Linked DNA regions of Macaca fascicularis. The protein of the gene in region 4 interacts with the protein of the main gene of each other region in a pairwise test. Links are inferred from orthologs where the notes say so. Each region holds a gene or a part of one and is shown on either strand. Other genes may lie near its edges.

Region 1 (7,960 bases), on a different chromosome or scaffold from region 4:
TAAAAGGTTGTTGTGTTGAGCGAAAGAAGCCAGACCCAAGAGTGCATACTGAATTATTCCATTTACATAAGATATTTTTTAAAAACAGACAAAACTAATCTATCTGTTAGAAACCAGGGCAGTGGTTACCTTAGGCAGAGGTGGTAACTGGAATGGAGTGTGAGAGATGTGTCTGGTGTGTTAATAATGCTCTGTTTCTTGATCTGGAGGCTAGTTATGTGGGTGTGTTCCACTTGCAAAAAAATGCATCAAGCTTAAGATAAGTGTGCTTTTCCATAAGGATATCTTATTTTATCTCAATAGAAAATTTGGCTTTTGTGTCAACTCCGCCTCAAGTAAGTGGGAAACTACAAAAGCTGGGGACTTGGGCATCTTTTAATCAAACTATGTATCAATGTCATTTCAAAGGTTTTGTTATGTGTGATCTTCCTTGAATGAGAATGGCAACAAGTTTTTTTAATCACACAGATTTCCTATGTGTCTTTTTTCTGCAGTCCTGATACAGTCTATGAACCAACCAAACTTAGGGAAAAGTAAAACAGTTAAGTCCTGTATTTCCACCTTATTTACAATATAATGCCCCCTACAGAAAATAATAATCACAGAAACACAGAAAATGACTTCTCCAGAGATGAGAAATGTGCACGTGATGCCACTTTCTCAGTTATCTCCTTCCAGAAGTACATCTTCTATAATCTGGAAGAAGAGTAAATTAACACTCCAACTCCAAAGATCAATAATTATGATATGAGAGAGACAACAGTGGAAAGAATAAACGTCCTTGGGCTTAATGTACTAGGAGGAAAGAACAGTCAGAGAAAAAAAAAAAGACCGAGAACACTGAGCTCTCTTCTGAAATGGCAGAAAGACCACTTTCTCCTGCATAAATGAAGTCAGGGCTGATACAAAACATTTTCTGGCTATTATTTAACCTCCCCTACCCAGCCTATTTTAGCTCAGTAGGAATTTCACCCACTAGGTGGACCTTGGAGTTCATCCACCACCCCAATAAAGATTGCATTATTTGAAGCAATGATCACTTCTTCCAAGCAAACCAACAAACCCTAGGTATTCAACCTCTGATAACCTGCCTACTACTAAGGAACTTCAGTGGAATTAGGGGACTAAAGATGCTGTCCCCAAACTGGCCTAAGGTGACCCAAGGGGAGAAGTTAACAGCAGCAGTTAAATTGATCTACTCATACTCAAGGATTACTCAGTCTTATGGGCAAGAAAAGAAAGCAATTAACAAACTACCAATAAGGAAAGGTATTTTGAAAATAGTGGAAAAAATGCCCCCTACCCTTCCTCTCAAAAGTAACGTCAGAGCTAGTCTGGCTTCACAGACAACTAGTGAAAATATATGAAAACTGCAGTACGGTTATAGATTATCCTTACACTTTAGCTTGTTCTCAATTGGAAAAAAAAATGCACATAATGTAACACTCTCCTGTCTAAATTGCTTCAAACTTTCTCAAAACGACCTTCATCGTGGTGGATTCTTTTTCTGCAAACCTTTGCAGGTTGCACCTGCTTCACACAGAACCACTGGAAGCAAACTAGGAGGAGACAGAAGAAATAGGAAGGTTTAAACCAACACAAATCGATTTTGTACCAAAAAATTAAGAAGGTTTAGTCTAAAAAGGGAGGGCCAGTGAGAAACAAGACAGAGGGGGAAACAGACACGTCTGGCTAACTCCCAAGGTAGAAATCATGACTCATCAAAGCTTTCAGAAGGGACAGAACCAGACTTTGCATTTGTCTTGAGTTCATCTTCCAGCCAAGAAATGGTCTCTTAACTGGTAACAGAACTTTAAGGGTTTGTCCTGGGTCTGTAACAGCTGGCTGTGAGGTCTTGGGCAAAACCTTTAACGTCTCTGAGGCTCGGTTTCCTCATCAGTAGGTGACTCCAAGGTCCACCCTAGCTTTAATAGTCTATCCTTGAGATTCTCGGTCCCATACTAACGGGAACTGGTCCACTGGGGGGAGCTGCAGAACTTCCTTCTCACAAACTCCAGGGCCCCGGGGCCCCAACTCTCCAGAGATGCTGAAGTCCTCGAGGAAGGTGGTTCTGCCAGCCTCTCTGTGAAACGGGGCCGCGACTGCACGAGTCCTGTCTCTACGGACCCTGCTCCTTGAGATTCCGGAAGTAGCTCCCTACCCCTGCCCCGGGTTTAGATGCTCCAGAGATGAGGGCCAAGCTTATACCAGGGCAGACTAGCGGGGGGCTCAAGGAGGCACACAGAGCAGGGGGACGGAGACCTCAGTCCTTGAGACCGCTCCTGCCAAGAGGAGGGCAGGAGAAGTCGGGAGAGGTGCCGGGAGCCCGCCAGGCGGGGGAGAGGCGCGTGGGACAAGGCAGGAGGAGGGCAGCCCTTATCGGTTCCCTATCCCACTAGCTTCGCTGCCGGGGTCGGAAATCCAGGTTCCTTGGCGCGGAACTAGGGGCGGGTCCGGAGGCGGAGGCGACGGCGCCCGGCGGGGTGCGCGCGGCTGCGACCCCGTCACTCCCCCGCCGCCTCCGCCCCTAACCCTCGGCCCTGTGCGCGAGCGAGCGAGCGAACGCAGCAAAACAAAACAAACTAGTGCCGGCTTCCTGTTGTGCAACCCGCTCCTGAGTAAGTCGGGGGCCGAAAGGGCGCCGCGGCTGGGAAGTCCGGGCGGCCGGGACCCGCGCGCGCTGCCCGGCCCGGCCGGAGCCTGTAGCCCGGAGTAGCCATGGCCGGGCTCACAGCCCCCGCACGCCGGCCACCGGCCCCCGCCAAGCCAGTGTCCTAAGCCTGTGGTTTCCCTTCGCTTCTCGCCTCCCAAACACCTCCAACAAGTCGGAGGGCGCGAACGCGGAGCCAGAAACCCTTCCCCAAAGTTTCTCCCGCCAGGTACCTAATTGAATCATCCATAGGATGACAAATCAGCCAGGGCCAAGATTTCCAGACACTTGGGTGACTTCCTTGTCCCCGAGGTGACTTGTCAGCTCCAGTGAGTAACTTGGAACTGTCGCTCGGGGCAAGGTGTGTGTCTAGGAGAGAGCCGGCAGCTCACTCACGCTTTCCAGAGAGCGACCCGGGCCGACTTCAAAATACACACAGGGTCATTTATAGGGACTGGAGCCGTGCGCAGGACAAAGTCTCCGAGACTGAGACATTTTCCAAACAGTGCTGACATTTTGTCGGGCCCCATAAAATGTAAACGCGAGGTGACGAACCCGGCGGGGAGGGTTCGTGTCTGGCTGTGTCTGCGCACTGGCGGCGTGGGAGGTTATAGTTATAGACCCGGCGGCTGCGGGTCGCCGGGCCGGTACCGGCGAGGAGTGTAGGTACCCTCAACCCGACCACCTCTTGCAATCATAGGGACACCGGCTTGGATGAGACACAGGCGTGGACAACAGTCTTCGTGAATCTCCACAAACACGTGGAACTTGAAAATACAACTACTGCCCCGTGTGTGCGCGTGAGACCTCACGTCACCCCATCAATTCCCACTTCGCCAAAGTTTCCCTTCAGTGGGGGCTCTGGAGTGGCGTGCCCCACGCCCGTCCGTCCTGCAACTTGCCCTGATTGTGTACCCCTCTGCCCCCTCTACTTAAAATGAAAAAAACAAAAACTGTTCCTAATTAGCGAAACTTTAAAACCCTGTTGATCTGTCTTCTACATTGGGCGCTGTTAGGCCACTGACAGGAACACTGTTTGAACCCTAATTGTTGCTATCAGTCTCAGTAAGCGCAGGTCTCTCAGTGACCTATGACTCTGGGGATTGGGGTGCGCGTATCCTTAAACCCGCGCGAACGCCACCGGCTCAGCGTGGAAAACTATTTCTAATCCCTAGTTTGCGTCTCTGAGCTTTAACTCCCCCACACTCTCAAGCGCCCGGTTTCTCCCCGTCTCTCGCCTGCGAGCAAAGTTCCTATGGCATCCACTTACCAGGTAACCGGGATTTCCACAACAAAGCCCGATGTGCGGGTCCCTTCCGCCGGCCAGCCAGCGCGAGTGACAGCGGGCGGCCAGCCCTGGCGAGGAGTAACTTGGGGCTCCAGCCCTTCAGCGCGCTCCGCGGGCTTTGCCTCCTTCGGAAATGAAAACCCCCATCCAAGCCGGGGGACGGAGCGCGGAAACCCGGCCCAAGTGCCGTGTGTGCGCGCGCGTCTGCGAGGGCAGCGGCGGCAGGGGGAGGAGGAGGCAGAGGCGGGGCGGCTGGACCCTCGGCATCAGCTCATTCTCCCCTGCTACACACATACACACGCAAATAATGTTTCTAAAAAGTTGAGTTGCGACTTTGCGCCTCGCCTGTCCTGTTCATCCTTGTCCTGGGCCGGGGAATGCTTCTGGGGGCCGACCCCGGGATGCTGGCTAATTGCTGCAGGCGGCTTCCGTCGCCGGTGCGACCCTGGACGGCCGCGGACGGCTTACAAGGGGTCCCAGGAGGGGCAGTGGCCGCGGCACTCGGCGCCGGTGCCCGTGCGCGCCGCGCTCTGGGCTGCCCGGGCGGCGCAGTGTGGACGCGGCTGCAGGGAAAGGGGAAGGGGGAAGAGGGAGGGAGGAAGGCGGCCCGGCGAGGAGTGTGGATGTGTGTTCGGCCGCGAGGGCCGGCCTGCACCCAGCTGCTTCCTGAGTGTGAGCGCCGGAGGGGGAGGGGGAAGAGTGGGGGCGGGCTCGCTGGTCACTAGGCTGGCCAATTCGAAGGCTGAGCTTGTGTCTCCCTCTTGACGCATACACACACACACACACACACACACACACACACACACACACACACACTCTCACACTCCCAGTAAGCCAGAAGTCGAGGAATTCCAGAATTCCAGAACAGGGTAATAGCAGGGAGACACTTCGCCTTCTTCCAGGCCTTATTTGTTAAACTGACTTTTATTTTAACATGAAAAGATGTTAGTGTTTAGCCAGGATTTGATGTCAGGTCATAAAAAAATAAATAAACAACAACAAAAAAAAATCCGGTAGTAACACAGAGAGAATAACACAGTGAAAAATGGCAAAAGGGTTGATTTGAAATTTGGGATCGGATGCACATAACAACTTCGAAACTGGATAGGTAAAGCACTAAGGAAGCGTTTGGCATCTTTTCCAAGTATAGGCAGAGAAGAGAGGAAGGTGATGGAAGTGTTGGAAGGGTATAAAATTCCTAACACAGGCAGTTAGGAATGGAGGTATATTCCCTGCATATGTTACATCTACAAAGTGGCACTTTATGAATTCAACATCCTCAGCCTTAAACCCCACCTAAGCTCTGACCCACCATCCCTTCTGCTTGTGTTGATCAGAGCCCTCAAAAGGTTGTTACAAGAAAGTCTACTTTTAGTAGTTCATCACATGTATTGCCACAGATGCAAGGACTTCTATCTTGGGAATCTAGGTATGTAATGCACACAATAGTTGAGAGTATTTTTCACCCTCATGAATTAAATGAGTGAGGATGCCACCAGACACTTTTAGAATTTCACAAGTCCTTATATTCTATTCTATTGTTCCTACTCCAATATAAATTAGCAATCAGGTAGTAGATGCTTTGATCAAGATAGAAGTCCTCAAGGACACAAATGACTTACCCCAGAAAGCCAAAACTAAAAGACTGTTGGCAGTTTTCATTTATCTAATTTCAGTAGGAATATTACTAGGTTTGGTCTATATCCATGATATTAACATAACCAAAAGAAACCTGGTTTCCACAGTACTTTTTCTTTTCTTTTCCTTCTCCTCGGGACACAAACTCATCAGAATATTAATCACCAGAATATTTGTCAGCATTAGTAGGGGAAGAAAAATAATAAGAGTTTAGGATATGTCATTCTGTCAATTTTCCAGTTTCTCTCTGTTCATCTCTTTTAAATACAAGTATCCAGGCCCAAGATTGGCAATAGATGGGCTCAACCACACATAAGAAAAGAAAATACTCATAAAATGAAGCATGCAGCAACATCACAAAAACAAAGAAACCAAGTGGTGGAAATTGCCATGACTATTCCATTGTGGCTAGTTATTGCAACATGCCTGACATTCACATAAAAACTCTTCCTCATTAACTCCAGCCTTCAGGAACAGAGCAAGATGAGAACACTAACCCTTCAATGCATCATGGGAACTTCTGTTCATCAGATTCTTGTACTGTACAACAACTGCTCCCCAGGAACAAGACAAGCCTGGGTGGAGGCTGCAAAAAACCTTTCCAATGTCCCTTAAATATCATTTCAAATACGATGGTTTTGATGCATAGACTGGTATCCTAGGGGCTTGCAGAGCTTCTAAAACTTCCCAAATGATGGGAACAGCTTAGCTGGAAAAGAAAAAATATATAGTGCTACACCCAACTTTAATCAATGGCTCATGGAAAAAAACACTGGGAAAGTTATGAGTCATTGACCTGGAGATCCCCAAAATCTCTTCATTTATAAGAGCCCAAGAGTGGGAATGTCATTTTATTTAGGTGTGATTTTCATGAACATCTAACATTCCTAAAATATTTACCATTAAAGAGGTATAGTGCTTTGGTTGGATTTTTTTCTTTTCTTTTCCTTTCTTTTCTTTTCTTTTTTTTCTGGCCAAGAATGTAGATCTGCAATGTTCTTATATTCCATGGGTTATAGTAAAAATGCAGTTGTTGTTGTACCAATACAACCCTGGAGTGACTCAGAATGAGATCTGTACCTCTTCTGGGCTGAATTGGTCAGCAGGGGTGAGGGAGGGTGGTAATGAGAGACAGTGAGAAAGGAAATCATGTAGTTCGGAAATGATACTCTCCCCTACCCATGAGCTCTCCATTGTGCTTAGGAATCATACTCTGGCAGCCCTTCAGCCAGATAGGTGGGAACTGCAGCCCAGTCTGTATCTTCCCTCTCTAGAGACCTGTGTTGTATGTGCCTCAACCGCTGACTCAGAGCAGCTGACTCAGCAGACAGGCCCCTGCTGCCAGCTCCAGTCCAGTTCTCATTCATTTGAGAAATATTCAGTGAGTACATACTCTGTCCAAGTATTGGGACTAAAGGAATTAACACGTGTATGCATTCTACATGTGAGGATATTACGGAAAACTTTTTGCCCAGTGTCTCAGTTATAGCAAACCCTCAAGAAATGAGGACTCTCTCCATATATTACCTTGTCTAATCCTCAAAACAATTGTATGAGGTGGATATGGATAATCTCCTATTTAGAAGCCAAGAAGTTGAAGCTCAGTAAACAGTTAAAGAGAGTCAGAGACAGAGCCAGATATGCCAGTTTAGAAGCCCCAAGTTCAATCAACATTACTGTACCACAAAATAATTGTGCATGCCCTTTGAATGTGTATAAAACATATTGCAGGTGTATAAAGTGCAAAGCATCTTGTGATCAATGTTGGATGAGCACAGTGAAGTTTGTAGGGAGTGTGGAGGAGGCACGAATAATTTCCTGCAATATGACATGGTAGCCTGGCTGTTTGAGCTGGACTTCAAAGAATGAGCAGAGAACTGATAAGCAGAGGAGACCATTTCAAGTAGAAGAATCAGCATCAGAAGGGGCACAGAAGGCATAAGTCCTGCATAGCAAGCAGCTCACTCAAAGCTAGAGTACAAAATAGAAACATCCACAGTCTCATAGCAATGAAACCCTCCAGAAGGAACGTCCTAACAGCAAAACTTCAGAACTGTTATTTGAGTCACTTTGAGTGCTCTGACAGTAAACTACTTACAAACTTGCAAAGAACTATAATCAGATTCCTACTCCCATAAAGTGTCCATGAAAAGAAACAAGTTTGAACCCCAAAATGCAGAGAAATTGAGCTAATAGCACCAGTGATAGTATGCCTAGCTATTAAAACACAGACGCACACACACACACACACACACACACACACACACACACACACACACACAAAAGCTGGCAAGAGTCCAGTTACGTAGAAATGCAGCGGAAAAAGTTAGTGTTTGCCAACTTTAAGAGGGGGAACTAAATGTGTAAAATGGAAAATTTCCATT
Region 2 (8,067 bases), on a different chromosome or scaffold from region 4:
AGCCCCCCTCCATGCGCCTGAAGGCCCGACCCGGCAACCCTGGCTTTTCCGTGCTTACCTGCAGCGCCTTCTCCTTCTACCCTCCGGAACTGCAACTGCGGTTCCTGCGGAATGGGATGGCCGCTGGCACCGGACAGGGCGACTTCGGCCCCAACAGTGACGGCTCCTTCCACGCCTCGTCGTCACTAACAGTCAAAAGTGGCGATGAGCACCACTACTGCTGCATCGTGCAGCACGCGGGGCTGGCGCAGCCCCTCAGGGTGGAGCTGGGTGAGGCCCCGCCCGGTGCTGATGCTCCTGGTTTCCCGTTGCCTTGTCTCACTGCTGCGCCGGTCCTTCCTGAGTCTGACCTTCCTCCCCGCTGCTGCCATCTCCTTGAATCTGACTGCCTTGTGCCTCGCGCCTTTCAGTGCCCCCAAAGCCTGATGCCTTGTCCTTCCCAAGGCCGACTGCCTTCCGTCCTGCTGCTTCTGGCCTCACTGAGTCTGAAGAGCTGTTAACCACCATGGCCAGTCCTCCCTGAGTCTGACCGTCTTCCATCCTGCTGCTGCTGCGGCTGCAGGTCTTCCTGGAATCTGACCATTCGTTGTCTGCTATGCCCGTCCTCACCAAGACTGACCACTTGCTGCCTTGCTACTGCCGGGGCCCATGAGGCTGACTTCCCACTGCTCTGCCTGCCTCTCCCCGCTGCGCCGGGACAGCCCCACCCTGCCGCTGCTGGTCCATTGCCAGTGTGACCACGGCGGCCGCTCGTGCTGTGGCTGGTTCTTACATCCAGCCTGGGGGCACCCTGCCGAGATCGCCCGCCTGGCCTTGCCTCTGTCCATCAGACACTTGGTGCTGGGATCTCCAAGGCTGGGAGGGACTGGGACCCCCCAGTGCTGTGTCCTGACTGGGTGGGGGTGGACGGGCTGCTCCACATCTCACAGCGTTCTCTGGCTGCAGAAACTCCAGCCAAGTCCTCGGTGCTCGTGGTGGGAATCGTCATCGGTGTCTTGCTACTCACGGCAGCGGCTGTAGGAGGAGCTCTGTTGTGGAGAAGGATGAGGAGTGGGCTGCCAGGTGTGGGCAGCGGGAGGAAGAGCCTTGGAGAGAGGGACAGAGACCCCAAGAGAGGGGCACACAGACCTGGGAGGAGAGACCTGGTGTGGGGACAGACCCAAAGAGAGGAGGACAGAGACCAGAGAGAAGTGGAGACAGAAACCCAGAGACGGGGGAACAGAGGCACAGAGAGGGGACAGAGGAAGGGGGAGACAGAGACCCCGAGGAGGGAGGCAAAGATGTAGAAAGAGGGGGGATGGAAAATTGGGAGAAGGGGAGACAGGCCCAGAAGGAAGGGGTTAGAGACTGAGGGAGTGTGTGTGAGACACACACAGAAATGGGGGATGCCAGTCAGACCCAGAGTACCTCAGAGATTCTGATGACCTCCCCCTCTCTCTCCACAGCCCCTTGGATCTCCCTCCGTGGAGATGACACCGGGTCCCTCCTGCCCACCCCGGGGGAGGCCCAGGATGCTGATTCGAAGGATATAAATGTGATCCCAGCCACTGCCTGACCATCTGCCATTCCGACTGCTAAAAGCGAATGTAGTCAGGCCCCTTTCATGCTGTGAGACCTCCTGGAACACTGGCATCTCTGAGCCTCCAGAAGGGGTCCTGGGCCCTGTTGTCCTCCCTCTGGAGCCCCGTCCTGTGGTCTGCCTCAGTTTCCCCTCCTAATACATATGGCTCTTTTCCACCTCGATAATATAACACGAGTTTGGGCCCGAATCAGTGTGTTCTCATCATTTTTCAGGCAGGGGAGGTAAGGGAATAAATCAGGGGACTGAATGGCCGCTGAGGCTCAGATCTCTCCTACAGGTAACATGCTGCCACGGGGGAACCTGCCAGTTTTATACATCAGGTCATGTATTTTCTTTTTCTTTCTTTCTTTTTTTTTTTTTTGACGGAGTCTTGCTCTGTTTGCCCAGGCTGAAGTGCAGTGGCGTGATCTTGGCTCACTGCAAGCTCCACCTCTTGGGTTCACACCATTCTGCCTCAGCCTCCCAAGTAGCTGGGACTACAGGTGCCTGCCACCACACCTGGAAAATTTTTTGTATTTTTAGTAGAGATGGGGTTTCACCATGTTAGCCAGGATAGTCTCGATCTTCTGACCTGGTGATCCACCCGCCTCTGCCTCCCAAAGTGCTGGGATTACAGGTGTGAGCCACTGCGCCCAGCCTGTTCTGGCAGCCAGGCTGCCAGGCTGGAGTACAGTGGCTTGATCTCGGTTCACCACAACCTCCGCTTCCCAGGTTCAAGCGATTCTCCTGCCTCAGCCTCCCCAGTAGCTGGGATTACAGCCATGCGCCACCACACCTGGCTAATTTTGTATGTTTAGTAGAGACGGGAGTTTCACCATGTTGGTCAGGCTGGTCTGGAACTCTTGACCTTAGGTGATCCACCTGCCTCAGCCTCCCAAAGTTCTGGGATTACAGGCGTTGAGCTACTGTACTCTGGGATTACAGGCGTTGAGCTACTGTGCTCATGTATTTTTAATTCATAACTTTTACAAATGTTTACTGGATAACTGCCGTGCCAGGCATTTTGAGGAATTCTTGGCCACTGTCTGACCATCTGAATCACTGGAGCAGAAGAGGAGCACTGTTCACTCTTGGAGGAAATGGGGTATTTCCTCCAGCCCCTCGATTCGGCTCGTCCTTTTTTTTTTTTTCTTTTTTTTTTTCTTTTTTTTTTTCTTTTTTTTTTTTGAGATGGAGTTTCGCTCTTGTTGCCCAGGCTGGAATGCAATGGCGCGATCTCGGCTGACCGCAACCTCCGCCTCCCGGGTTCAAGCGATTCTCCTGCCTCAGCCTCCCAAAGTAGTTGGGATTACAGGCATGCACCACCACACCCAGCTAATTTTGTATGTTTAGTAGAGACGGGGTTTCTCCATTTTGGTCAGGCTGGTCTCGAACTCCCGACCTCAGGTGATCCGCCCGCCTCGGTCTCCCAAAGTGCTGCGATTACAGGCGTGAGCATGAGCCACTGCGCCCGGCCTTCTTTTCTTTTCTTTCTTTTCTTTTCTTTTTTCTTTTTTTTTTTTCTTTTTTTTTTTTTTTGGTATAGGACTGTTGGGACGTACACCTCTTTCTTAAACCCGCCTGACAAAGGGAAAGAGGGAAAAATACATTTCCCGTGAGGCGTTGGGGCTAGAACAGCTGGAGGTGGACGGCAGAGTGCCGCGACGACTGACAGGAGTTGTAGTTCTCCCCGGCCGCGTCACTGCGGCGTCGCCCACCCGCCTTCCCCGGGCAGGCAGCGGTTTCCTTTGTGGACGTGGCGAGGGGCGCCTGCGGCCTTCCCGGCACTCGTTGGCCCCGCCCCGTGAGTCGCTCGTGCGAGCTCATTGGGCGGGGGGCGGGGCTCTGCTCCGCCAGAGGCGGGGCCTGACTGGAGAGCGGCCGAATTGGGCACTTTTGCGGGAACGCAGAGCCCAGCGTGGAGAGCGGAACGAAGCTGGATGACTGGGTAAAGGGAGTGGGTGGGGGTGCCTCAGTCCAGGCAGGGCGGCTCGGGGCGGCTCGGGTCGAGGATCAGGGTCCGGACTGGGAGCAATGACGGGGAGCCTCCCTGACCTCTGGCTGGCCACAACTATGCCCTGTACTTTGCGTGGGATGTGCGCCACGTCTCTCCCTGAAATTCCCCCTCGCAGGTCTGGGACCCCCTGAGACTCCGTCAGAAGAGTCGGTCCCCCCAATAGGTGGCTTTACCTCTAAGCATCACGCCCTCTTTTCCCCCATCGCCCGCCCTTTTTGAGCCCCAAAGTTTGTAGCCAACTTCCATCTCCCTGTCCTGCCCTAGGTAACCCCTCCACCCCGCCATTCTCCTGTCCCATGTCTGTCCTCATACCTGTAACCCCTGACCCCTGGCCTTTGCCACTCCCCAGGGACCGATGATGTGGCGAGCATCGCTTCTGCTGCTTCTGTTGCTACTGAGGCACGGGGCCCAGGGGAAACCGTCTCCAGACGCAGGCCCTCATGGCCAGGGGAGGGTGCACCAGGCGGCCCCCCTGAGCGACGCCCCCCATGATGACTCTCACGGGAACTTCCAGTACGACCATGAGGCTTTCCTGGGACGGGAAGTGGCCAAGGAATTCGACCAACTCACCCCGGAGGAAAGCCAGGCCCGTCTGGGGTAGGAGAGACACGCGGTTGGGGCGTGTTCGGAGGTGGGGTTTGGGAGAGAGTTGCGGGGGTATTGACAGGGGTTAGAGAAATGGCGTGGACTGAACTTCAGTTCTTTGTGAGAAATGAAATTCTACCTTCTCTCCTTGGGAAAAGCAAATTAAGTTAAAATTGAGGCATGAAGAGGACCTTTGGCCCTTTTATTTATTTATTTATTTTGAGACAGGGTCTTACTTTTTTTTTTTTTTTTTTTTTTTTTTTTTTTTGAGACGGAGTCTCGCTGTGTCTCCCGGGCTGGAGTGCAGTGGCGTCATCTCGGCTCACTGCAAGCTCCGCCTCCCGGGTTCACGCCATTCTCCCGCCTCAGCCTCCCAAGTAGCTGAGACTACAGGCGCCCGCCACCACGCCCGGCTAGTTTTTTGTATTTTTAGTAGAGACGGGATTTCACCATGTTAGCCAGGATAGTCTCGATCTCCTGACCTCGTGATCCACCCGCCTCGGCCTCCCAAAGTGCTGGGATTACAGGCTTGAGCCACCGCGCCCGGCCGAGACAAGGTCTTACTTTGTTGCCCAGGACGGAGTGCAGTGGCACGATCTCAGCCCACTGCAACCTACACCTCCTGGGTTCAAGCGATTCTCCTGCCTCAGCCTCCCAAGTAGTGGAGATTACAGGCACCTACCACTGCGCACAGTTAATTTTTGTATTTTTAGTAGATATGAGGTTTCACCATGTTGGCTAGGCTGGTCTTGAACTCCTGACCTCAGGTGATCTGCCCACCTCGGCCTCCCAAAGTGCTGAAATTACAGGCGTGAGCCACCGTGCCCGGCCTATTATATTATTATTATCATCATTATTTGAGACGGAGTCTCACTCTGTTGCCCAGGCTGGAGTGCAGTGATACTATCTGGGCTCACTGCAACCTCCACCTCCTGTATTCAAGCAGTTCTCCCGTGTCAGCCTTGGAGTAGCTGGGATTTCAGGTTCGGGCCACCACGCCCGGCTAATTTTTGTGTTTTTAATAGAGATGAGGTTTCACTGTGTGGGCCAGGCTGGTCTGGAAGGCCTGATCTCAAGCGATCCGCCCGTCTTGGCTTGCCAAGCCTGGGATTACAGGTGTGAGTCACCACGCCTGTCCTGTCCTAAGTGCTTTCCATGGCCAAACTCATTTATTCCCCAGAGCTGCCCTTTTGGGGTAGGTACCATTTTTTCTCTCTATTTTACAGAGGGGTAACCGAGGCACAAGAGAGGTTAAGTCACTTGCCCACAGTCACCCAGCCAGTAAGAGGAAGTGGCTGGATTTGGACCTAAAATGTCTGGCTGTGGGGCCCAAGCTCTTAACAACAGCAGTAACTTCAGAGAAGGGTGTGAATCTGGGGACAGAGTCGGCCCTTGACAGACCGGAGCGGAGACCACCTGGTGCGGGAGGTGGGGCGGTGACTCAGGCAGGCCTGGAGAGGGCTCTGCTGTCTCAGATTTTCTTTCTTTTTTTTTTTTTTTTTTTTTCTGTCTCAGATTTTCGACCTTAGGGAGGGGGCCGCGGGGGCCTAGGGACGGTGACAGGGAGGAGGGCTCCTCTGTTAATTAGAGATTGGGCGAGGACCGGCCTGACATGGAGAGGAGAAGGGCCGGGGAGCTGACAAGCGTGGCCCGAGAGAAGGGGCGAGATGGAACCTAAGTGGCTTGACATGTGACGGGGAGGGGCACAGGAGCCCCGAGGAGCATGGGGAGGGGTATAGAGAGACCGAGCCCCTGGGGTTGCGGGTGATGGTCCTCGGGCAGTGCCTGATTCAGCCGGGAACAGGCAGGAGAAAGCCACCAGGCGCAGCACAGGGCAGGGCTGGAGGGATAGGAGCCTGAAATTGACACGCGCAGCCTGGTAAGGGGGCGGGGTATGGGGCGGGTTGGGGCCTGAGACAGCCGGGGCTCGGGGGTGTGGCCGTGGCTGTCTGGGTTCAAAGTCAGTCTTGGAACAGGGCCCCCCTGGCAAGGGGCGCAGTGCGACGCCGCGCTCCCCATCACCACCACAGCTCAGCCCAGCTAGAGGTGCAGCACGTGCGGGCCGAGGGCGGGGCCGGCGCGGAGAGGGTGGCCCTGCATCGTCGTAGGTCTCTCCCACGCAGGGCTCCCAGCAGGCCCGCTCGTTTTCAGGAAGGGCGTGACTTGTCCCGGGGGTGGACCCTAGGCTGAGGGTCCTCCGCTGGGTTTGGTCCCGAAATTGACACGCGTCCCTCCCCAGTTCACCCGCGGATCCGATGTGTCCCAGGGGGCGTGGCCCCGTGCGAGGGGCGGGGCCTGGGGCGGGACCAGAGACTGACTTGTGCCCGCCCCGGCTCGTAGGCGGATCGTGGACCGCATGGACCGCGCGGGGGACGGCGACGGCTGGGTATCGCTGGCCGAGCTTCGCGCGTGGATCGCGCACACCCAGCAGCGGCACATACGGGACTCGGTGAGCGCGGCCTGGGACACGTACGACACGGACCGCGACGGGCGTGTGGGTTGGGAGGAGCTGCGCAACGCCACCTATGGCCACTACGCGCCCGGTACGCGGCGAGCCCCCGACCCTGCTCCCCATACAACGTTACCCTCACCTTCTGGACCGCCTCATTCTGAGAACCTGAACCCGTTTACCCGGAGTCCCTGGCCCCTAACCAGGCTCTACCCACTTTTAGGAGCCCATCACTGAGATCTTCACTTTCTCACCTCTGGCTTCTCTTTTTTGTTTTTCGTTTGCTTATTTTTCTGGTATTTAGCTGCATACTAAAAACGATCTTTTTTTCAAACATGAAGTCGGAATTAGGTGTTAAAAGCCACTGAACACGCCCAAAGAGGGACTTGAACCCTGGGCCCTCAGATTAAAAGTCCAATGCTCTACCAACTGAGCTACCCAGGCTCCCTTCAGGGAGTTTATTCTGGGACCCGCCACCTCTATGACAATGTGACAGTATGACTAGGGAACTTCAGATCCACGGCCAAGGACACCTACTTTCCATGCTTTGTCATCCTGAACCCTAACCTCCGTGACATCATCCTGAGAACCCCAAAGCCAGTTACTCTGCCCCCGACTCTCAGATCCCTCCTTTCTGTCCCAAGCCCCAGCCCCAGTGGCCCACCCCTCCACACACACACACACACACACAGCCCTCATTCCCTCCCCCCTCTCCTCTCCGTCCCTGGCCCCAGCCTCCCCCTCCAGCCTGTCTTCCACAGGGCTCCAGGGGAGTCTTCACACCCAGCACTGACTCTGCCCCTCCCTCCCCTTCCTGGGCCCCCAGGAGACAGTCCCACTCCTCAGCCCGGACATCTCCACCTGTAGGTTTGTTTTTCTGCATTTTCTGCCCCAAATGGATCTTCTGTGGTTTTTCTGAACTCACCACACTCCTCAAACCTCTACCCTCTGCCCATATTGTTCCCTCCAATTACAATGCCCTTCCCTTCCTCTCAGTCAAGCCATCTCAGTCCCTGTAAGCTACCCCATCACAGCCTCAGTCTGGGGCCAAAAGGGCTACTATCAACTTAAAGTCCATCTTTCCTGTCTCCACACCCTTGGATCAGTTATTTCTTCTCTCCGGGAATCAGTTTTTGCATTCAGAAAGTAGAACACATGGAAAAACCCACTGTACCTGCTTTTTGTGATGATTACATGCAGTATTTTACATAAAGAGCTTAGCATATAATCTCTCACGAGTTAGCTAATTTATTGTGTGGATATAATATGTTATATAGCCTGGGTGCAATGGCTCATGCCTGTAATCCCAACACTTTGGGAGGCTGAGGCGGGTGGATCACTTGAGATCGGAGTTAGAGACCAGCCTGGCCAACATGGCAAAACCCCATCTCTACTAAAAAAAAAAAAAAAACTTAGCTGGGTGTGATGGCATGCACCTGTAACCACAGCTACTCT
Region 3 (7,322 bases), on a different chromosome or scaffold from region 4:
TTTAAAAGAATTTCTAAAGCACCAAATTCAATGGCTTTCTCATCCCTTTTTCTACCTAACTTCTATGAGACCATGAGACTTTTTTCATTTTTTCACTTAACTACTGAAATAATGACACCTCTTCCTTCTGAAATCTCTTTATTTATTTATTTTTCTTAATTTGAGAGACAGAAGTCACTATGTTGCCCAGGCTGGAGTATAGTGGCTATTCACAGGTGCAATCAGAACACACGGAAGTGTCAAACTCCCAACCTCAAGGGATCTTTTTCGCCTCAGCTTTCCAAGTAGCTGAGACTACAGGCATGCCACTGCACCTGACTCTTTCCTTGGTTTTAGGAAAAGCATACTGTCCTGCTTCTTCTGTTTCTGGATGTTCTTTCAGTGGCTCCCTTTTCTCCTCCAACGCCCAAATCTGGACATTTATCAATACACAGTCTTTGTTCATTGTCCTTTCTTGTTTTTCATTTTTTCACTTAACTAAATCTTCAATTTTCATGGTTAGATATTTTTTGCCTCAATGTGGGTGACTTCCATATTTCTTCTTATGTCTTAAGCCCTCATCTGAGTTTCACACTCATATTATCCAAAGACCTGCTTGGACAGCTCTACATGGATGTCCAAACACTATATAAAATTCAATACATGCAAAGCTGAATTCATCTTCCTACAGTATTCTCTAAGTTTAATACAATGCCAAGAAAAATCTCGAATGAATTTTGGGGAAGGAGATTTGGAAAAGGCACGCTTAAACAGTTCAAATTGTATGACTAAACAATTCAATAATCAATCTACTACAAAGCAAAGAAGAATGATTGCCCTACCGGATATTAAGACATTTTATAAAGCCAGAGTTGTAAACCATCAGATCAGTGTAACAATAAGAAGTCTCACATTTGACCCACATGTGTATATGTGTATGCCTGCATGTGTGTGTATATGTGTGTGTGTGAGAGAGTGTGTGTGTGTGTATTTAATAAAAAGCTACATTCCAACTCACTGGTAAAAGATGAGTTATTCAACAGATGGTGTAGGGACTATTAGTTAACCATTTGGAAAAATAAAATTGGATGTATTCACACATCTTAAAGCAAAATTAATTCTAGGTGAAATAAATATCAAGTTGTACAAATTAAACTATAAGGATACTAGAGACAAATGTAGGGGTATATTTACATGATTGTAGTACAAGGAAAGACTGTAATTATGACCCAAAGTCAGAAACCATAAAGGAAAGTATTGGTAGATTTGAAAACTTAAAAATTACAAAAGAAAATCTGACATCGGAAAACATCATAAGCAAAATTAAAAGGCAAAAAATAAACTGGAAAATATATTGTAAGTATTCTAAACAGAGCTCAATGAAACCAAAAGCAAAATGAGAAACGTCATGATCCTTTTTGTTTCTCAATCACGGATACAAAATCCTATATATTGTATGATTCAATTTATAGAAAATGCCCAGAAAAGACAAATTTATATCATCATAAAGCAGATCAGTGACTTCCTAAAGTTTAGAGTGGGGAGAGGGAGTGACTGCAAAGGGGCTAAAGGGAATTATTGGAGTGATGAAAGTGATATAAATTCAGATTTCAGTGATGATGATGGTTGTAGAATTGAATAAAATTTACTAAAAATCATTGAATTCTATATTTAAAATGAATGATTATATTTTGAGACAGGGTGTCACTCTGTCATCCAGGTTGGAGTACAGTGGCACAATCACTTGAGCTCCCTGCAGCCTCAAACTCCAGGGCTCAAGTGATCCTCTCACCTTAGACTCCTGAGTAGCTGGGACTGTAGCTAATTAAAACAACAACAACAAAAACAAAAACAAACAAACGAACAAACCAAAAACCACTTTTTGTAGAGATGAGGTCTCATAATGTTGCCCTGGCTGATTTCGAACTCCTGAGTTCAAGCAATCATTCCATAACAGTCTTCCAAAGTTCTGGGATTAGAGGCATTAGTCACCTCACATGGCCTTACAATGGATGAATTTTATGATGTGTAAATTAAATCTCAATAAAAGTGTTAATAAAAATATGTCAGAAGAGAATCATATCTATGCTTGAGGACAAATGAAACATACTTCTCATGAACAGATAGTGCCATTACATGATATTATTTGAATTCTCTTTTAGAGAAACATTGAGAGGTATCATAAAGATAATCCAGACTAATTATCTTTAGCAGATGAGGAAACTAAAGCCCAATTAAATACTTTGCATGAAAGTCTCATGAAAAATCGCATGAAAAGCTAGGAGTTGCATCCAGATTTCCTGACTACTAGCCTGGTATTTGTTATATTATGCCATACTCTTTCATTATAGTGTGTTTATAATGCTCTGACCTAAACTGACTAGAATTCCAATAAAATAAAAATCATTTACTTAATTGTAATGTATGAATTGTAATAACATTTATAAATGTAAGAGATTATTATTGTTGTAGATGAATGTTCCTTGTGATGACGATGTGGGAGATTGTTTAGGTGGAGGTATTAAAAATAAATCTATTCTTTTCAAATACTTGGCCAAATGTTTTGAAGACTCTAGACTTGAAGTGCAGTAAGCTGAAAAGCAAGTAAAAAATGCATCAAATTTACAAAGGCTATTATTAGAAGATTCAGCATATAAAGTACCTTGAGAGCTTCCTTCAGACAAACAGATGGATACTTCATCATTTCTGTCATTATCCTCTCCTACTTCAGGCCCAGCTTCCTCTCCTGGTGTGAGTGCAGATAAAGAACCAGACTCAGGCTGCTCAGAGAAATCAGCAGGGCCTCCTCTTGGAGGTGGAACTTCAATCCCCATTAAACGATATTTCCTTCTTCGATTCCCAATCCAAGTCTTTATAAGAGAAATATAGGAGGAATTTTTGTAAGCATAGAGAACTTAGCAGTTCTGGCCAGTAAAATAATGAATGAATGCTGCATAAAATAGGATTTAAAGGAATAAATGGGTACATAGAAAGATAAAAACGTTTATGTCAATATGCTAAAATAAAAATAATTATGTTTTATATTTTTATAACTTATTTATTTTATTTATAATTGACACATAATAATTGTACATGGTTATGGGGTACAGTGTGACAGTGTGAGGTTTCAATACATGTACAGATTTTATAATGATAGACTCATGATGGTCAGCATGTCAATCACCTCAAAATGTTAATAGTTATGACTTTTACTTTAAAATATTTATTAGCAGAAAGAAGGTATTTATATAAATATTCATATTTTTAAGCAACATGTAGTCTAATGAGGATGACTTTTTTCTGTTTTTGTTTTGTTTCTCAAGAAAACGATTCACCAAATCTTTCAAAAGAAAAATAAACTGGTTCTTTTTCAAACAGCTATAACTCTAATTCATATCCTATTTCTAATCTTGTTCTTCCTATGCAAAAATGTGCCCTCTGTTAATTTTGTTTGGCTCCATATTATTACCTTGGCATTTCAAGCACTCTGAAATTTCATTTTACTAAATTTACAACCAATTTTGAAGACATTTTGTAATGAAATAATTTTAGAGTCATGGGAAGTTTCAAAGATAAGTCTTGTTTATTCTTCACTCCGTCTTCTCCAACTTCCATCTTACATAACTATAGCAAAATATCATAAAAAGGAAATTGATACTGTACAATATGTGTGTATAGTTCTATGTCCCTTTATCACACCATTCCTCTTCCTCTCCTTCCCACTATCCCTAATCTGTTTTCTGTCTCCATAACTGTGGTTTTTCAAGAATATTATATAAATGGAATCATGCAGCATGTGACCTTTTGAAATCAACTTTTTCAATTCAGCACAATTCCCTGGAGATTCATTCAAGTTGTGTGTATTGAGCCCATTCATTTTTATTGCTAAGCAGTATTCCATGATATATGTTTACCCATGTTTGTTTAACCATTTACCTGTTGAAGGATGCTTGCATTGCTTCAAATTTTTTGCTTATTATATATAAAGCCATTGTGAACAGTAACTTGCAGGTTTTATGTAGACATTGTTTTTATTTTTCTAGGATATAGGCACAAGGATGCAAATTATGGATCATATGGCTATATGTTAAGTTTTATAAGAAACTGTCAAATTGTTTTCCAGAGAAACTGTTCCATTTTACATTCTTATCAGCAATATATGAGAGATCTAGTTTCTTAGCATTCTTGCTATCATTTAGTATTGTCAGTATTTTCTAAAAACTTTTAGCTGTTCTCATAGGTGTATGTAGCAACAGCTCAACAAGTTCTTAATGTTGACCATATTTCCATGTGCTTATTTGTCATCCATATATTTGCCATCCTTTTCAGTGAAATGTCTCTTAATTTTCTAATTGAAGTGCTTGTTTGTTTTCAGTGTTGAGTTTTGAGAAGTTCTTTATATATACTAAATATGAGTTATATGTCATATATGTGGTTTGCAAATATTTGCTCCCAGTCTGTAGCTTGAATTTCTGTCCTGTTTAGTCTTTTGCAGCACAAACTTAACACTGCTCAAAAAAATAAAGGATATTAATTTAAAATAATAAACAATGGGTTCACTGAAAAGATTGGTAAACTTGGCAAACATCTAATTGTTAAACACAGTTTAACGTGGGCCTGGTGACTGGTGAGCACCTGTAGTTGCATATATTCGGGAAGCTGAGGTGGGAGGATTGCTGGAACCCAGGAGTTCAAGGCTGCAGTGAACTATGATCACATTACATTATACATAGTTTAACATAATTTTTATCAAATTCCAGCAAGATTTTTGTAGATACATATGAGACAATTCTAAAATTCATGTGAAAATAAAATGAGTGAGTATGGCTAAAACAGTATTGAATAAAAAAGAATAAAGTGGAAAGAATATATCTACCTAATTTCAAGACATTATATACTTACAGTAATCAACAGTGTGTGCTATTAGCAGAGGGCTAGCCACAGATCACTGAAACAGAATAGAGAACCCAGAAATAGTCTTACACTAGTATGACCAGCTTAGCTGACTTTTGACAAAGGTACAAAAAGAATTTAATAGGGGAAGGGTATTTTTTTCAAGAAACAATGCTGGAGCGACTGGATATTCATAGGAAAACAAAAACAGACCCTGTCCTAAATCTCACACCTTATACAAAAATGAACTCAAAATGCTTCATAGATTTAAATATAAAAAATAAAACTTTAAAACTTTTACAAGAGGGCATAGAGGAGAATCTTTGGGGCTTCAGGATTAGTGAAGAATTCTTAGAAATGGTAATAAAAACCACAATCCACAGAAGAAAAGTAACTTCTGGGGTTTTGATTGGGATTGCATTGAATCTATAGATCAAGTTGGAAAAGAACTGAAACCTTGATATAATTGAGTTGTTCTATCCATGTCCATGGAATATCTCTCCATTTATTTAGATGTTTGATTTCTTTTATCAGAGTTTTGTAGTTTTCTTCATGCAGACCTTGTGCCTAAATTTATACCTAAGTGTTTAATTTTGCAGAAGCTAAAGTAAATGTTTTCTTTTTTTTTTCTGTTTCATTCATTTTTGTTCATACCTTAGTTATTTCCTTCCTTCTGTTTGCTTTGTGTTTATTTTGTCGTCTTTTTCTAGTTTCCATTTTTTTCACTATCTTCTTTTTTTAGAGATAGGATCTCACTCTGTCACAGTAATGTGATCATAGTTCACTGTAGGCTTGAACTCCTGGGCTCAAGCAATTCTCCCATCTCAGCCTCCTGAGTAGCTAGAACTGCAAGTGCTCTCCAGCCACCATGTCCAGCTTTTGTCTAGTTTCTTAAGGTGGGAGTTTAGATTATTTATTTGAGAGTTTCCTGTTTTCTAATGTACTCATTATGATACATTTTGCTGTCAACACTACTTTATCTGCATCCCACAAATTTGGCATTTTATTCCTTTTGTACTGTTCAATGTACTTTTACCTTCAATATTCTTTCTCTAATACTCTTCCTTTCTTTATGTAGCTCTGCATTTCTGACCTATATGATTTCCCTTGTATCTGAAGGACTTTTCAACATTTCCTGCAAGGCAGTTCTACTGGCAACACATCCCTTCAATTTTTGTCTGAAAAAGTCTATTTGTCCTTCACATTTGAAGGATAATTTCACTGAGTACAGAATTGTGGGTTGGTATTGTTTGTTTTTTCCTCTCAACACTTTAAATATTTCATTCTACTGCCTTCTTGCTTGCATGGTTTCTGAGGAAAAGTCAGATTTAATTCTTACTGCTGCTCCTCTGTAATTAAGGTATTTGTTTTTCCCCTCTGGCTTCTTTGAATTCTTTTTCTTTATCATTGATTTTTGCAGTTGAGTATGATATGCCTAGGTGTCGTTTTTTATTGTTTGTTTTGCATTTATCCTGCTTGGCATACTCCAAGCATTGTGGATCTGTGGTTTGATATATTACATTAATTTAGGGAAAATTCTCAGTTATTATGGTTTTGAATATTTCTTCTGTTCTATTTTCCTTTTTTTTCTCTTTCTGGTGGTATTCCCATTGGACATATGTTGCATCTGTTATATTTATCCCACATTTTTGTATATTATGTTCCATTTTTAATCAGTATTTTTGTTTTATGCTCTCCAGTTTTGGAAGTTTCTATTGATATATCATTAAGTTCAGAAATTCTTTCCACAGTCATGTCCAGTCTGCTAATGAGACCATCAAAAGCATTCTTCACTTCAGTTACTGTTTTTGGTCTCTAGCATTTGTTTTTGATCCTTTCTTAGAATGTTCATGCCTCTGTTTACATTACCATTCTGTTCTTGCATGTTGTCTACTTTTTCCATTAGTGCCCTTAGCATGTTAATCATAGTTCTTTCCAATTCCTGGTCTGACAATTCTAACATCCCTGTCATGTATGAATGTAGTTCTGATGCTTGCTCTGTCTCTTCAAATTCTTTTGTTGTTTTGTTTTTGTTTGTTTTTTGCCTTTTGGTATGCCTTGTCATTTTTTATTAAAAGTTAAACATGATGTACTGGGTTAAAAGAACTGAAAGAACTAGGCATTTGGTGATGTAGTGTTAAGGTTAGGAGGAAGGTAAAGCATCCTATAGTCCTATGATGAGATCTCAGTCTTTTAGTGAACCTTTGCCATGGCCTGTGAACTTTACAAGTGTTTATCAGTTTTTCCTCTACCTTAGGTGGGACAGAATGGCTAAAGGGGACTGTATTTGGTTATAATTGTTGTTTATTTTTGCCCTAGGATAGGTAGGTCATGGTAAAATCCCAATAGGCTAGGCTCTGGTAAAATATTTGTTCTTAAGAGCAGGCTTTCTTAACAGAATGTTCTAATGTTTCTTAAAAATGGTTACTTTTCCACTCTTCCTGTCAAGA
Region 4 (7,322 bases):
ACAAGGGCTCAGTAAATACTGTAAGAGTGGTGGCTGGAAGAGTGGTCACCTTGGGCCACCAGTTCTCTGAAAGAACTCTGGCTCTTTGGTTCTTTTCAAGCAGGAGAGAGTTGACAAAGGCATCGAGACAGATGGCTCCAACCTGAGTGGTGTCAGTGCCAAGTGTGCCTGGGACGACCTGAGCCGGCCTCCTGAGGATGACGAGGACAGCCGGAGCATCTGCATCGGCACACAGCCCCGGCGACTCTCTGGCAAAGGTGGGAGCCAACACCCAGCCTTCCCCCAGCCTTCCTCCTTCCTTTTCCCCAGGGCCTGGTTTCCAGGCTCTCTAGGATGGGTCTCTAACAAAAACAACCCATTCAATAGTTTATTTCCTGGCATGATTTAAACAGCAAGTGAAGTCTTCCAGCAGGGTGGAATTAAGGGAGCTTTATTGGCCCATTTCTAGTTGTGTTTCCTGTGTGTATTTCAAATGCATCACCAGCAGGCACCATTGTGTTTTAGATTTGTCCCTTGCAATCTGAGGTCATGGAGGTGAGTGGAAGCCTTAGAACAGTTACAGGAAAAGTCCATAGTCCACCCAAGTGCAAGAGAAAAGTGTCGGCCACCCACGGAATTGACACAGGGCCCAGCTCTGGCCTGAAGGCCATGCCAGATCCAAGGATCACTCTGGCCTTGGGCCCTCCCAGGCCTTCAACAAGAGAGGCCTGAGTGTGAGGCCGGCTTGCAAATTGCCCACCTCCTGTCATACAGATACAGGGTTAGGGCTGTGGGCAGGGCCTCTGGACCCACTGCATTCCGGATGGGGTATTTGGGAAGGAGGATGTGGCTGTCCTTTTGGAATCTCCCTATGCTGATCTTGGCTACAGAAACAGTTGTGGTTTTTAGTAGAGGGCGTCCCCAACTAACTGCAAAGGAAAAGCAGCCACTTACATATACATGTGTTGACAGCTTCTTTGTCTACTTCCTTTCTTCATTCTTCCATCTTTTCTTTTTTTGAAGAATAAGATGTCTACAGCCCTGAATAAAATCCTTACATATATGATAACACTTATAAAAGGTTTTTGTTCATTCTGTAAAGGACAAACTTAAACCCCTAGTGCAAATATTTGAGCCCTTTTTTTTTTTCTTTGAAACAGGGGTCTCTGTTGCCCAGGCTGGAGTACAGTGGCTTGATCTTGGCTCACTGCAACCTTCACTTCCCAGGCTGAAGTGATTCTCCAGCCTCAGCATCCCAAGTAGCTGGGACTACAGGCATGAGCCACCAACGCACAGCTAACTTTTGTATTTTTTGTAGTCAGGGCTTCGCCATGTTGCCCATGCTGGTCTTAAACTCCTGAGCTCAAAACAATCCACCCGCCTCAGCCTCCCAAAGTGCTGGGATTACAGATGTGAGCCACCTCACCCAGCCGAGCCCTTTCTTTCCTTCCTGTTTGTTTTAATGGCATGCCAAGTCTGTTGGAGGCTCAAAGACAGGGTATACAGTTATTGGAATCATTTGGTTGCTTTTGACAACCAAATGAGGTTGATTTAAAGAGGGAGTCATAGTCTTGTCTAAAATTTCAGTCATTATTGGCTATTTTTAAAAATTATAAATTAATCCATCCTACTGTAACAAATCAGATCGTTAGAAAAGTTAGTAATCATCTCCTTTCCACTCTAAGACCACTCTTTGAGCAACTAACTTTAATTTGCTTTTTTGTATCTGTTTACAGTTTGCAGAGATAAATTTGGATCCAAATCTCAGTACAGGGAACCAGACTAGTAAGCTTCAGCCCAAAGACCAGCAAAGCACCTTACAAAGAAATAATCCCACCAGGGGAACTCTTTCACTTCCTGGCCCTTGCCCCTCCATGGAGAGGCAGAGTTTCCTGGGATAGACCAAGGTGGAGGGATGATCTCGTCTCACTGACTTGAATGCAAGGGGAAGGGGTGGCAAGACCAGATGCTAGTTGACCACCCAGAACCCAGAAAGGTGTGTGAGAGGCACCTGCCCATTCATGGCAGGGCACTTGCAGCCTTCACTCACATCCATTTCAGTGGGCAGAATCCCCAGTAATCAGTCACTGTGCAGAGCCACGTTAAGGGTAAACCTCGGGCCTGTGACACAGGAAGGAAAACGATGGTGGAGAGCGCTTTTCTGAACTCTAGAGGCTGCCCCTGGATTCTACAAGAATGGCACTCTTCCAACCTAGAGCTTCTTTTTTTTTTTTTTTTTGAGACGGAGTCTCGCTCTGTCGCCCAGGCTGGAGTGCAGTGGCGCAATCTCGGCTCACTGCAAGCTCCGCCTCCCGGGTTCACGCCATTCTCCTGCCTCAGCCTCCCGAGTAGCTGGGACTACAGGCGCCCGCCCCTGCGCCCGGCTAATTTTTTCTATTTTTAGTAGAGACGGGGTTTCACCATGGTCTCGATCTCCTGACCTTGTGATCCGCCCGCCTCGGCCTCCCAAAGTGCTGGGATTACAGGCGTGAGCCACCACGCCCGGCCGAACCTAGAGCTTCTTAAGAGCACAGTTGTCCCCTCGCAATCTGTACTCACTCAGCACTCACGTCTGGATGCCTAGAGTGGGCTCAGGACTGGCCAATGTGGTAGTTTTTCTTAGCACCTCTGCTGAGCCAAGTTTTAAGAGCAGGGTGAGAGTTGCTGGGAGCCCACTGGGCCACCGGGCAACTTAGTGGTGTCGTTGCAGACACAGAGCAGATCCGGGAGACCTTGAGGAGAGGACTCGAGATCAACAGCAAACCTGTCCTTCCGCCAATCAACCCTCAGCGGCAGAATGGCCTCGCCCACGACCGGGCCCCGTAAGTTCCCCAGTGTCCATGGACTGGAACAAGAGGATGATTTTGTCCTGAAGGGCCTGTTCCTGTGGATTGCATGAGAGAGAACAATGCACATAGCCCTTGCTGGATGGGCCCAGGATCTCTAGGCTTAAGGGCAGGCATGGTCTGGGGCACACAGATCTATCTGTGGGTCATAGGAGAGGGCCTCAGAGGGGACCCAGCAGACCGTGAATATAAACATCAGTAAATATTTACATGAGCCGTGTGAACAGACAGGAGGCCAGGTTGGGGCGAAATCTGACTTGGGGCCTCCCAGCCTTGTGGGAGCCCATTGTGCTGAGCACGGTTCCCTCCTTATCTCGGTCTCGGCCAGAGTTGCCCTTCCTTCCTTCCTGGAGCCTGGTCTCCGGCTGATAGCTGCAACCCGGGGGGCCTCCCTCTCTGGCCAGCCCCATGCTGGATGCCTGCGGCTGAGGCCCTTCTTCCTGCCTCTCTTCCCTGGGGCCCAGGGAAGGGAAAGGAAGTCTTTTGCAGGCCTCTGCTGCCTGTCCAGGGGCCCCTGTAGCCCTCGGGAGAGACTGTGGCCACCCCAGAGGTCAGATCCGCTTCCTGCCAACCTCTCTTCCTCTGATAGAGGGGATGAGTGATGGGCAGGGCTGGAACTGGGCACCCTCCTCTGCCCTTAGTCCCAGGGCAGCTCTAGGGAATAGCTGCTGGCAGGAGATACTAGGGGGCTGGCAGCCCAAAGCAGGAACCTTGCCTGCCAGGGAGGAAATTGCTGTGCCTTGGGCTGAAAGGGAGGTCAATCATCCTGCAAGACCAGGGTGATCTAGCCTTCTTCTACGAAGTCTTTATTACACATTTGCTGTCTGACAAGCTTGGGCCCAGGGGGCCATCTTGGGTGCACAGGCTCTTCCTTTGGGAGAACATGAGTGAAACAATTACCTTTTAATAGTGTGTGTCTGGCTGTCGATGTGATTTGTTGGAAATGGCTGCTTCTCTGGATTCTAGCTCTAGTTGCTGATCATGGTTCCCAGAAATAGTAACACTTTAGTGCACTACAAAAAAGACAGGTCCACAGGATCTGGGGTAGTTAGGGAGGGCATCTTGGAGGAGGAAGAACATGGCATTGACCTTCAGGACGCCTTAGAATTTTAATAAGCAGAGGAAGGAACTCAAGAGGATATAGCACAGGGGAGGCCTGGCTGGTTAAAGTTCAGGCTGCCTCCTGAGACCTGACTGGACTAGAGTTACTCTGGGAACAGGGCTGTGCTGAGAGTTGAGCTCTTTGGCAAAAGCCTGGAGAAGCCTCTACCGCCACCTCAGAGCAGCTTTTAACTCCGGCCTGTGGGTTTCTCCAGCCAGCTGCCCTGAAGTAGCTGGCTCGAGGCATCCTGATCATCCCCTGGCAGCAGCAGATGGCCACACCAAGGTCATACGACATATGGAAGCTCTCTACCTGTGAGTCTGGACCCTGTCCCAGGTCTACACTCCTTCCCATTCCCTGAGCTTGGCTTCTCGCTTTGGGCCTCCTTGGCACTGTTGGGAGGCCAAAGGTACTGGAAGGCCTATAACATGGAGATAGTCTCAGTCCAGATGGCTCTCTGCCTCTGGAAGCCTGGGGTTTCTAGGCAGAAGGGCACAAGCTCCTGCAGAGATACAACCTTCTTGCCCCTCTTGTGTATCTGGAACAGGCCTGAGATCTCACTCTCTGGCTTGGGAGCACTTCCAGCTACTGCACCCCTGGACATTGCAAGGGGGCACAAGGCTCTGGCCTCCTAGATATACACATAAGCCCAGACTCAGCCCACACCCTAACTGGGCAGTAGGGTATTGGTTCTGGTCCAGGGGGTCTCTGTAGACATAAGGCAGAGAGATTGTGGCTTCTACCCTTTGGCTTGAGTTAGCTGAGATACAGAGAGATGGGTGGGAAAAGATTTGAGGTGCCGGGTTTGTCTCCCCTTCCTGAAGGTTTAGTGCCCAGTCAGGTCTCTGAAGCACCAGGATCTGCAGTCTGACGGGATTAGAATGTTTCCTCTGAGGCTGTCAGTGCTGGTTACCCATTTGTTAGCAATTGGTTGAGAAATGGTTTCTCCTCCTCCTTTGCCAAGAACATTCTCCAACACACCCCTTAAGCCTGTCAGACTCAAGCTTCCTGTTATCTCAGGATCGATCATGATGGACTCAGTTCAGTTCAGTGAGCGTGATGTTAATATCTGTGCTGCCCACTCTGGGACCTGACCCCATTTCAGATACACCACATGGATTGCAACTGAGAAAGCTGACCCAAAATGTGCTGGCACCACTGTTTGCTCCACTCCCTGTGCGGGGGCAGCCAGCGTGGGCCATATTTTGTCTGCTGGTCTGATTTCCCCTTAGTCAGGACTTCTGGGCCAGGAAACTCTTATGCATGGGTCTTCCTGGTTTTGTCTGTGGTCTGAGGAAGATACAGAGCTAGATCAGAGGCTCAGAGCAGCTGATCAAGCCTGGGCATTAGCAGCTGGGTGCCGGCCTACTTGGGGGCATCAAGCACTTGCTCTTTTCACACTTCAGCAGCAGCTAAAACATTATTAGTGCTTATTCTGTGCTAGGTAATGTGCCAGTTACTATCTGCTGCCATTCATTTATCTCATCCTCATAGCCATCCTGTGGTCGATAATCTTACATATCCCCCTTTAATGGATGAGGTACAGAGAGGCTAATAAGTATCTTGTCCAAGGTTAGAAAGAGGTTGCGCTTACTTACAGCCATCTATCAGCCATTAAAATGGATGTAATCTTCCTTACCCTATTCTCAGGGACCCCATGGGGGACACATCAGACTGTGTTTCCGAGAAAATAATGACCCTTACTGGTAGAATTCATCTAACTAGTTGCAGCATGAATCGGGACCTCTCACATGGCACCAAGGACAAAGCCAAAGCCTCATGTTAGAAGCCTATTGGGCTTATTTAACTAAACTGTAGGGGAGTTAAATAACTCCTAGGAGATGCCATGAGCCTCGGTGATTCCAAATCCCAGAAATAACAAGCTATGTCATAATTGGCTCATTTATACCAAAATTATTTTGTGACACAAGGCCTTATTTTCTTCATGTACAGAAACTAAAACAACCCTATCTCTGGCCCCTCTACCACCTCAGGGCAAGGGGATTTCTTTCCATTTCGAGGGTCTATTTCTTCCTTTCCAGAAAGGCAGGCCCCCTGGGTAACCTGCTCCTCTCCTACTCTTCGTTGCCAGCCCTCCTCCCACTGCCTTCCCAGAAGGAGAGTCCTTGGCCCTCTTCAGGGCTTCTTCAGCATTTCACAACCCTTGCATTCCAGCCATGAAATTTGTATCTGGCTTTTCCCAAGATGATCAGTTGAGAAAAGCCTCCTTCAGCTTGCTGGCGCCTCCCTTCCCACTGCCTGCTCGGGTGAGTTTGGGAAGGATGGGAAGCAGCTCCTTTGTGCCGCATGAGGACAGCCTGGCTTAAAGACTGGGCCTGCCAACATCTGTAGGGATTTGAGGAGGGAAAAGTTCCTGGGCATCCTCTCTGAGGTCACCTGGTCAGCGTGAACTACGGAGTCTGGTCTCTCTACAGTGCACAGTGCGGTCAGGTGAATTGTGTGTAGAGGTTTTCTTGTCTTTCTGTCTTTTTTTTTTTTTTTTTTTTTTTTTGACACAGGATCTCCTTCTGTCACACAGGCTGGAATGTGGTGGCAAGATCATAGCTCACTGCAGCCTTGAGCTCCTGGCCTCAAGTGATCCTCTTCCCACCTTGGCCTCCCAAAATGCTAGGACTACAGGCATGAGCCGCCATACCTGGCCTGTATTTCTCTAAACTGTTGCTCAGATGCTGGGAACCTGCATCAGTATTCTAGGACCACCTCCTCCCTCAGCAAGTGACTTACCACCTGAGGCTGGGGACCCTTAGGGAGCACTCTGAGTTGTGCCCTCCCAGAGGGGGACAGGGCACATGCATGTGTGCACCCTTACGTTAGAGGGGAAAAGTTCCTGACTCTGGGAGAAGCACTTTGTAGTTGAGGCACCTCTAAAAAGCGAACTCACCATCACTGCTGAGATTCTCAGTCTTCTAGAATCACACCAGCAACTTTCAAGACCTGTAAAAAAAATTTTTTGGCCTTAATTTCCTGGACAATTAAGATTCTGTATCACGAATTCCTCTGCTGTAACATTCTCATTTGCAACACCTCCCCAACATACACACACACACATATACATAGATTTCTCCGTGCTCTTATGAGTGTCTCTGCACCTGTCTGTTTGGCCTTTGATTGGGGTGACTTTGCTGCCTCTAATTCCCATCTTGAATACCTTGTAACCTGGTCAGGGAGTCATCCTTTCGAGAAAATTGTGTTTTGTTTTGCTCAGCCTATGAGGTCCATGAAGATTAATTAGAAGAAGAAAATATCTCGTTTGCATCCAACCTACCAGTGAATTGGGGTGAAGGAAGGTGAGTTTCCATCTGGGGGAAACAGCTGGGCTGTGGCTGGTGCCGCTCGCACGAAGGGCAGTATTGGGTAACCCTGCTTCAAGGGGT

Evidence for each region.
Region 1: the proteins of SUFU (region 4) and GLIS3 interact in binary tests that used the Homo sapiens proteins (3 or more experiments, as listed by UniProt). The link is inferred for Macaca fascicularis from reciprocal best matches to the Homo sapiens genes SUFU and GLIS3.
Region 2: the proteins of SUFU (region 4) and RCN3 interact in binary tests that used the Homo sapiens proteins (3 or more experiments, as listed by UniProt). The two-hybrid records come from large-scale screens. The link is inferred for Macaca fascicularis from reciprocal best matches to the Homo sapiens genes SUFU and RCN3.
Region 3: the proteins of SUFU (region 4) and HDX interact in binary tests that used the Homo sapiens proteins (3 or more experiments, as listed by UniProt). The link is inferred for Macaca fascicularis from reciprocal best matches to the Homo sapiens genes SUFU and HDX.

The regions. Positions count from the first base shown.
Region 1 is NC_088389.1:94,803,372-94,811,331, reverse strand, and holds the start of GLIS3 (zinc finger protein GLIS3), read right to left. Parts: upstream 4,585-7,960; 5' UTR 3,921-4,584; intron 1-3,920. UniProt on the Homo sapiens protein: Acts both as a repressor and an activator of transcription. Binds to the consensus sequence 5'-GACCACCCAC-3'.
Region 2 is NC_088393.1:57,488,992-57,497,058, forward strand, and holds the start of RCN3 (reticulocalbin-3), read left to right. Parts: upstream 1-3,453; 5' UTR 3,454-3,509; intron 3,510-3,927; 5' UTR 3,928-3,933; coding exon 3,934-4,175; intron 4,176-6,503; coding exon 6,504-6,706; intron 6,707-6,983; exon of another isoform or gene 6,984-7,056; intron 7,057-8,067. Other genes in the region: FCGRT (IgG receptor FcRn large subunit p51), read left to right, coding at 1-270, 946-1,062, 1,446-1,555. UniProt on the Homo sapiens protein: Probable molecular chaperone assisting protein biosynthesis and transport in the endoplasmic reticulum.
Region 3 is NC_088395.1:90,994,819-91,002,140, forward strand, and holds part of HDX (highly divergent homeobox), read right to left. Parts: intron 2,850-7,322; coding exon 2,642-2,849; intron 1-2,641.
Region 4 is NC_088383.1:111,609,798-111,617,119, forward strand, and holds part of SUFU (suppressor of fused homolog), read left to right. Parts: intron 1-100; coding exon 101-257; intron 258-2,689; coding exon 2,690-2,801; intron 2,802-7,322. UniProt on the Homo sapiens protein: Negative regulator in the hedgehog/smoothened signaling pathway. Down-regulates GLI1-mediated transactivation of target genes. Down-regulates GLI2-mediated transactivation of target genes. Part of a corepressor complex that acts on DNA-bound GLI1.